Drosophila melanogaster: one gene and its partner. The protein of the gene in region 1 interacts with the protein of each later gene in a pairwise test. Each region holds a gene or a part of one and is shown in the gene's direction. Other genes may lie near its edges.

The links. Proteins that work in one complex are often made in the same cells at the same time.
Region 2: the proteins of Cp15 (region 1) and CG9121 interact in a two-hybrid assay, tested with the Drosophila melanogaster proteins (one large-scale study listed by BioGRID).

The regions. Positions count from the first base shown.
Region 1 is NT_037436.4:8,726,522-8,729,571, forward strand, and holds Cp15 (chorion protein 15), read left to right. Parts: upstream 1-1,959; 5' UTR 1,960-2,005; coding exon 2,006-2,017; intron 2,018-2,088; coding exon 2,089-2,424; 3' UTR 2,425-2,545; downstream 2,546-3,050. Other genes in the region: Cp18 (chorion protein 18), read left to right, coding at 314-328, 503-1,006. UniProt on the Drosophila melanogaster protein: Chorion membrane (egg shell) protein; plays a role in protecting the egg from the environment.
Region 2 is NT_033779.5:5,047,267-5,052,657, reverse strand, and holds CG9121 (uncharacterized protein), read left to right. Parts: upstream 1-1,682; 5' UTR 1,683-1,780; coding exon 1,781-2,000; intron 2,001-2,409; exon of another isoform or gene 2,410-2,529; intron 2,530-2,577; exon of another isoform or gene 2,578-2,640; coding exon 2,641-3,867; intron 3,868-3,938; coding exon 3,939-4,294; 3' UTR 4,295-4,840; downstream 4,841-5,391. Other genes in the region: eIF3h (eukaryotic translation initiation factor 3 subunit h), read left to right, coding at 1-3, 344-1,021, 1,088-1,345; CG44001 (uncharacterized protein), read right to left, coding at 4,880-5,115, 5,179-5,385.

The DNA.
Region 1 (3,050 bases):
AATGGGTCTCGTCTCTGGTAGACGATGGCGTAAGCACAGACGCCTGCTATCTGGACCGGCCCGAATTGAGAGCCAGCATTTTGGCCAGTGCGGATTCGGCCTGGCTGCACGTCTCCGGCGGCGTCTCAAGATTGCTGGACAAAGAGGCGAGGCCTGGAACTGCGTCTGCGGGAACCCGGAGAGCCGAAACTTGCATCATATTCGTCACGTAAGAGTTGGGCCTCTGCCTGGATCTGGTATAAAAACAAAACATTGCGCCAGAATAAGACATTAGTTACCTTCGCATCGATCAACTAACCAACTCAGCCTCAGAATGATGAAGTTCATGGTAAGCCTTAAGTTCCAATATTGTTTCTATTGACACCTCAACTGAGTCCAGTATGATCCTTTCAATAAAATATAACTACATATTATAATAATTGGATAATATGATTGGATCTTTCTTTTCTAATACACTTCAGTCTAAACCCAAATTAATTGAATTTTTTCTTGAATCCCTTAGTGCATCTGCCTCTGCGCCATCTCTGCCGTTTCGGCCAACTCCTACGGACGTTCCCGTGGTGGATACGGTGGTGCCCCAGTCGGTGGCTATGCCTACCAGGTGCAGCCTGCCCTGACCGTTAAGGCGATCGTTCCCTCATACGGTGGTGGATACGGCGGAAACCATGGAGGATATGGCGGTGCCTACGAGTCGGTGCCTGTGCCCGTGTCCTCTGCCTACAGCGGTGCCAATGTGGGATCTCAGTACTCCGGTTCCGGCTACGGCGGTGCCCCACCAGTTGATGCCCAGGCCATTGCCCTCGCCAAGCTCGCCCTGGCCGCTCCCAGCGCTGGAGCTCCTCTGGTCTGGAAGGAGGCTCCCCGCTACGCCCAGCCCGTCTATCCCCCCACCAGCTACGTGAACCAGGAGTACGGACACAGCGAGAAGGTGAAGGGAGGCTCCGCAGCCGCTGCTGCCAGCTCCGTGGCCGCCGGAAAGAAGGGCTACAAGAGGCCCAGCTACTAAGTGGCAAAACGTTGAACAGTGAACCAAAAACTTACCTGCCCATAAGGAACTAGGTCATAATAATAAAAGCCAAAACATCAAGACTTAAAATTTTGAGTACTGTATTCTTGCTGGGTTTTTAGTTTCGGGCCGAGAATTGAGATCTGCATATCTTAGCTGAATTGGCATAGACTTGCGGTTCATTGCAATGCCAAGCGATACTTTGAGCCAGCAAAAATTTCGTGGTTTCGTAGTTAAATGAAAATGCTGCTTAAAGTGCTAAAGAATAATTCTCATGGCGAATGAAGCTGAAAAGCTAAAACTAAATTCATTTGTGGGGCCACTTTAAAACTATAGTTCGTCAAATAAGCCTTGACTTTTTTAAGTTACCATAAGTAAAGAACCTATTAGATAAAATGAGATTAGATAGAATATAGTTTTGCTTGAAATTATGTTTTTGTAAAATTTCAAAATGATTGAAATACTTTAAAATGTTTTAGTTATAATTTTAAGTTTTGTATGTGACTAGTGGTCACTTTAAAGGGATGATTCTATATAGGTTTTATCAGAAAAACCGGCTGGAACCAGTTCTAGAAGAATCCTCACTTAGACAAGCCAAGTTCCGGACACAACCGACCTGGAAACCATTACCCCCGAGAATGTGGATAATATAAAGTTCAATTCAACAAATTTTGGACTGTATTCGAAAATAAACGCGTTCGTGGTTCCCATTTGGAAGAGTCGCGTGTTCGTAGTGCTATCACTACCCAACACCCGGTAGAATAGCACATCGCGTAACCAAGCGATTTTATAATGGCTTGACAACAAGTACATAAATCAAATGTGAGTATATTCCAGCCGGGCAATTATGAAATGCCATTTCTGGGCTGAAACAGAACAATTAGTGTATATAGGTCACGTAAATGTCCAGGCTAAAATTTGCGTATAAAAGCGAGCGTTTCTGGTCGGTAAATCATAGTTTGATTGATTACCCCAAACCAACAAAACTAAGCACTCACCATGAAGTACCTGGTAAGTTGTGGTAGTCCCCGTGAAGGAGTGGCAGCCAACTGATCCTCCGGATTTCCCCTTTTCACCTTCAGATTGTCTGCGTTACCCTGGCCCTTTTCGCCTACATCAACGCCAGCCCAGCGTACGGCAACCGTGGAGGTTATGGTGGTGGCTACGGTGGTGGCTACGGTCCTGTTCAGCGCGTCGTCTACGAGGAGGTGCCCGCCTACGGACCATCCCGTGGCTACAACAGCTATCCCCGCAGCCTGCGATCGGAGGGTAATGGAGGAAGTGCCGCTGCCGCTGCCGCCGCTTCCGCCGCTGCCGTGAATCCCGGAACCTACAAGCAGTACGCCATTCCCTCCTACGAGTTGGATGGCGCTCGCGGCTACGAGATCGGACACGGCTACGGCCAACGTGCTTACTAATTCTCGCTTCATCGGCAGTGAATTGAACTATCGACTCCTTGCTAAAATCCTCGAGTGGCTGTCATGGCGAAACTCTGAGAATCAGTGAATAAAAGCAGCTTGAACGCAATGGAAAATACCGAAAAGAAATACGTATTGTGTGTTTTGCATTGTGACATACTTTTCAGCGCATTCGGGTTAAGATTTAGCGGTGGGTCATTATTATTATTCCACACACAAGATGGGTTTCAAAGTGGGGCAGCTAGAATATTCACTGCGGCAGATTGTACAATACTATATAGAAGTACTATTGCACTTTAAGCTACAAAGTCGACAGGTTAAGCTTCAGTGACTCAAGAATTTAGTCACCTATGAAACCCTTAGTTTCACTAATAGATTCTTAGACGAACATCTTAAATTGTATAATCAAACAAAGGGCTATATATATTACAATAACATATTTGCCAATGTGCATAAAGGCATAGACTCTGAAGTTATGTTTTATCGTTAAAATTTGGTTTGTTCTGTTTACTTGAAGGTATAGATAATATTATAAAATCCATATCCAATAACCATTGGTCAGTCGTTGGCCCGTTATCCCATTAACCCGCTTGCGTTCCCGCACGCACCCAAATGCAACCATTGAT
Region 2 (5,391 bases), on another chromosome or scaffold:
CTGGTGAGTAGTGCTGTTGGCCAAAAGACCTGGCCGAGATTGGCCCGTGGGAACCGGCGCGAAAGCCGGAAAAGTTAATGCCACGCGCTGTCTCAGAAATTTGCGTGCTTTGTGTGTGTTTGTATGGGTGTTCGTGAGGACATGGGCGTAGAGCTATAAGGAAAAGGGGGCCGGTCTCTTCATTACCATAGCACAAAAAACTTCAGTCAAATGTTTTCTTCAGAGAAACTATTAAAAGAAAGTCCGAAATATATCTACTTTCCACGCCCCTGTTCAAATGCAAATAGTTGTCTGTCGCTAATTGATTTTGGAACATAATTACTACGATCACTTTACCTTGCAGGCCGTCATGAAGATGGTGAAGCACTGCCATGAGGAGTCGAGCAACATGGACCTCGCCCAGGGCGCCCTGCTCGGTCTGGTGGTAGACAAGTGCCTGGAGATCACCAACTGCTTCCCGTTTCCCAAGAGCGGCGATGAGACCATGGACGAGGAGATGTACCAGCTGACCGTGATGCGTCGCCTGCGTCGCGTCAACGTAGATCATCTCCATGTGGGCTGGTACCAGAGCTCCGACGTGGGCAACAGCCTGTCAATGGCTCTGTTGGAATCGCAGTACCACTACCAGACCAGCATTGAAGAGTCCGTCGTTGTCGTCTACGATACGCAGAAGTCATCCCGCGGATTCCTGTGCTTGAAGGCCTACCGCCTTACTCCGCAGGCCATTCAGATGTACAAGGATGGCGACTTCACTCCAGAGGCATTCCGCACCCTGAAGGTCGGCTACGAGAACCTCTTCGCCGAGATTCCCATTGTGATCAAGAACTCGCCGCTGACCAACATTATGATGAGCGAGCTGAACGAGCTGCTGCCCGAGGACAAGGGGCACAACTTCCTGGACCTGGGCACCGCCACCGTATTGGAGAACCAAATGCGTAGCCTGATCGAGCGCGTCGACGAGTTGTACCAGGAGGCAGTGCGCTATAACAAGTACCAGCAGGTGGTCTTCAAGCAGGATACGGTACGTAGCAATATAATTAAATATGTAAAAATTCCTAATCGCTTTCCTTGCATTTATATTTTTTAGGAGAAGCACCGTGCTCTGGCTAAGCTGGCCGCCGAGAACGCCGTTCGCACATCGAAGGGAGAGCCCACGGTGCCAGAGGAGGAAGTGATCAAACAGTTCCGCCCCATGACTGCGCCCAACCGCCTGACGGCCACCATAACCTCTGGCCAGATCAATACCCACGCCCAGCATATCGCACAATTCTGTTCGCAATCGCTGGCCAAACTCTTCATCACGGAATCGCTGCAAATTGCCAAGGAAGCAAAGGAAACCAAATAGATTAGCTAATGTTAAGCGTTTTTTAAGCTGAGGCAACAACATTCACTACCCACAAACATAGCAACTGCACACACAGACGTCGAAAATAAACCAAACAAGCGATGAGTGGGCTTGGAAGCGAACTGCCAGCTGATTTCTTCTTTATTGTACTCTCCATTTGCTCAATAGAATGGCCAATTCAAACCGCCCCAAAAAAAGAAAACCACCACCCGCTATGCAGCCAAAAATTGGTACTGCTTCTGCGCACGCCGGATGTTTGGTTTCACTTCTCGATGAGACTTTCCGGGGGAGTGTTGCTGCCACTGACGACATCGACGCACTTTTCACACCACCCCACAAGCAGCTGCTTATCATTTGGTTTGTTCTTTTCGCTTCGCCTTTTCGCTAACCAGCTTCAGTTAGCCTAACTAACTAAATTACTAACCCGATGGCAAAATGCTGTCCTACGACCTCAACGAACGCCTGCTAACCGCCGTACAGAGCGGAGATTTCGAGCAGGCTCTGGGCTGCATCATGCAAGGTGCCCAGGCCTCGTATGTATCGCCCACTTGCGGACGCACTGCCGTGGGCACGGCGGCCATTCTGGGCGATGCCGAACTGTTGGAGCTGCTGCTTCAATCCTGCGAGGAGCCCGAGCTGAATGTCTTTCATCAGTGTGAGTTTTCCTTCCACTGGTTCGTTCTGAAAACAAACGAAACTAACTTTCGGAAAATTTAATTGCATTAAAAACAAACACATAGAGAACATTAGAAAAAAAAATGCTGTGGGTAAGCTAGATAATGTGTATGTATATTGTTCAAAGGTAAAACATAAACATAAATAATAATAATAATAATCAATGGATCCAGGAAACGAATTAGTTAGATACAAGAAAATTTTAAATGAAGTGCCAGTTCGTTTGTTCACTTTTGGAGTATATATAATACTATACAGAATTTATTATAATTTTAATACTCCCACTAAGTTGAATGATCCAATTTTAGTCGGTTAATTTTGTACGTACTCAATTTCTTGTTGTGCATTCTTTTCTCTTTTCGGGTCTATCCAACATAATGCAAGCACAGAGAAAAGTAAGTGAAGGCCGGAAAACCGGTTATCGGTTGGCCAGTTAACCGGCTGATAACAATGCTCGACAATGGGTTCCAACTGCAACCAGACACAGTAGACACGGCTAGTTCTATGTGGCAAGTAACGAAAATCTTGTCAAACCTGAAACCTGTACTTCATACTGTCTTAGCAAAAAGATTTTCAAAAACTGCTTTCTTAGAACGTTTCACGTTGGTTTTGAATTGCAGCGAACACGGATAGCCTCGAGATCGAGCGGACGCCCGAGGGTATGGAGAAACTGGAGTGGGTGGATGAGTTCGAGAATAGTGCGGAGAATGGAGCGGGCAGCGGCGAAGAGGATAGCCAATTGTATCAGTATTATGCGAAAACCTTCGAAACCACCGGAGAGTTCATATCATCCCAGTGCTGTGTCTCCTGTCGCGAACATGATCCGCATCTCTACGATGCCGATGTGGCCACTCCGCTGCACTACGCCGCCTACTGGGGTCACGAGGAGTGTGTGCGCATCCTGTTGGAACACAACGCACCTATCAATGTCCTCAATAACGATGGATACGCGCCACTCCATCTGGGTGCCGGTTTCGCCGGTGTCACCGAGCTACTGATCAAGCACGGAGCCTTGGTGAATGCCAAAACCCTGAGTGATGGCAAGACGGCGCTTCATATGGCCATCGAAAGCAAGTGTGCGGAATCTGCCCGTCTACTGCTTCAAACGAACATCAACATCAATGACACGGATGATGATGGCGAGACACCACTGATGGCGGCCATTGCCTGCAGCATGTTGGACGTAGCTGAAGAGCTGGTGAAGCGTGGTGCTCGCATCAATATCCAGGACAAGCAGAATCACACGGCCTTGCAGTACGCGGTGAGGGGTCGTCACACCCAGATGGCCAAGTTGCTCTTAGAGCGCGGAGCACGGCGCCTGGCCTCCCAACACCTGCTGCATCTCGCCGTTGAGTCCAATGTCAAGGAACTGGTGGAGCTTCTACTGCAGTACGGCGAGAGTTTGTCCGTATGGAATCTCAAAAACTTCACACCCATCATGCTGGCCATCCATCGGGGGCGTCACGAAATGCTTGAGTATCTGCTGAACGTGGCTGAGGAACAGCGCAAGCTCGGACTCTACTCGGATGTCCACGATGAGGGCTTGGTTCTGTTTGCCGTGCAGCAGAATTTTTGGGTTAAGGAGTTTAGCCGCATACTGCGTGTATTGCTTGCCAAATCGCCCAGCGCTCGTAATGATTTCTATGACTCGTGTGCTCCGACAATCGTTTGTGGCCTGATTTATTGTCACACTCCGTTGTCCAGGGCCATCAACCTGCACCGCCTGGAGGTGGCCGAATTCCTCATCCACGAGGGCTGCAATCTGGCGCAGATTTGCCGGGAACATGTGGTGAATGAGCTCAGATCGAATTGCACACCAACACGATTGGCCTTTGCCAGGTTGCTATGTAAGTTGCTTACTCTGATCTTAGTTCCTATGAAGTACATGGTAGTTATTTTCATTTCCTATTGTCCATAGGCAACGCTGGCTTTCAGTTTCCGCACAAGCACCGACCCCTGCCCAAGGACTGGCCACCAGCGCGGCTGGAATTCGAGCGGGAAATGTGTTTGCTTGGCACCCAGCCACGCTCCTTGCAGTCTCTCGCTCGCCTGGAGATTCGTCGGAGTCTCCTGAGATGCCTGCAAACGCGGCCGGAGGTGCAGGAAAGGTATCTTCCCACTCAGGAGCGGTCATCGCTGGGGAGGATTGTGGATGAGTTCGCCATACCCGCCACCTTGAAGCGTTACCTCAGCGACTTTGACGAACTGCCGCCGGTGAGGGGTATGGAGCCGGTCGATATACCTGTTGTTAAATGGACTGAGTCTTGGGATTGATTGCGCTTTAGGAATTTTATTTTCAGATTATATAGGTTTTATATGTTTGCTATAATGATAGGTAGCGTATAGTTTTTGTAAATTGGCGACGAGTGTGTAGGAAGGTTCTGCAATAGTTTCCTTAATTTCAATTTCAACGCCAGATTAATTAACAACTTCGATACACGGACTCCAATGTGATATTAATTTTCTTACGATGTATTACAAATTTTGAACAGAATTTTCACGCAAATCTCGCATTTTTCAAAACGAGTTCCGTGTGCACATCCTGTTGGGCACAGAGTTTTCACTAAATTACTTGCACATTTTATGTTTACTAGGCATGTGTATATAGTCTATATAGAAGATTTAAACGATGTATGTATCCACTATGTTAATTTGACTACGCAAACGTTAAGATTACTTTTCCCATATACAATCGATCTCGCACACAATGCAAACAAATAAGGACGTATGCAATTTCTAAGTAGGATTTTACAACGATATCGGGTGCAATTTTATAGAAAACGTGTTAACAGACTCAATAAACAAAGATATTTAAACCGTAACGAATACGAATATGTTGAACGGGGAATGACAAGCCCTTTAGGGCTTCAGCAGCAGCTTAAAATCATCATTGGCGTTCTCCATGATGTACTCAAATGCAATTTTGTCCTTTTTATCCTTGACCAGCTTAAGTGTTGGCTCCTTTGCCAGCAGAATGCGACACACCTCCAGGTGGCCCCGCATCACTGCTCGATGCAAAGCGGTCTGTCCGCTCTCGTCCTGCAGCAGAAGATTAGCCTTGTGCTCGACCAGTAGCTTCACGATTTCCAAGTGGCCTGCCGTCAGATTAAAACTCGTAGTATTGATTGATCATAACTGCGATTTGCAATGGTTGTTACCCATCATGGCTGCACGATGCAGCGCGGTGGCTCCTGCTTTGGTCACAGCATTCACGTCTGCCTTGCCCTCGTCGAGAAGCAGCTTGCAGATGGGCTCGTTCCCATTGCGGGCCGCATAGTGCAGAGCCGTATAGTCGCAGTCATCGCGAGCCATCGACTGGCCCTTCTTGATAAACTCTCTTACACGCTCCACTTCGTTATAGATAGCTATAC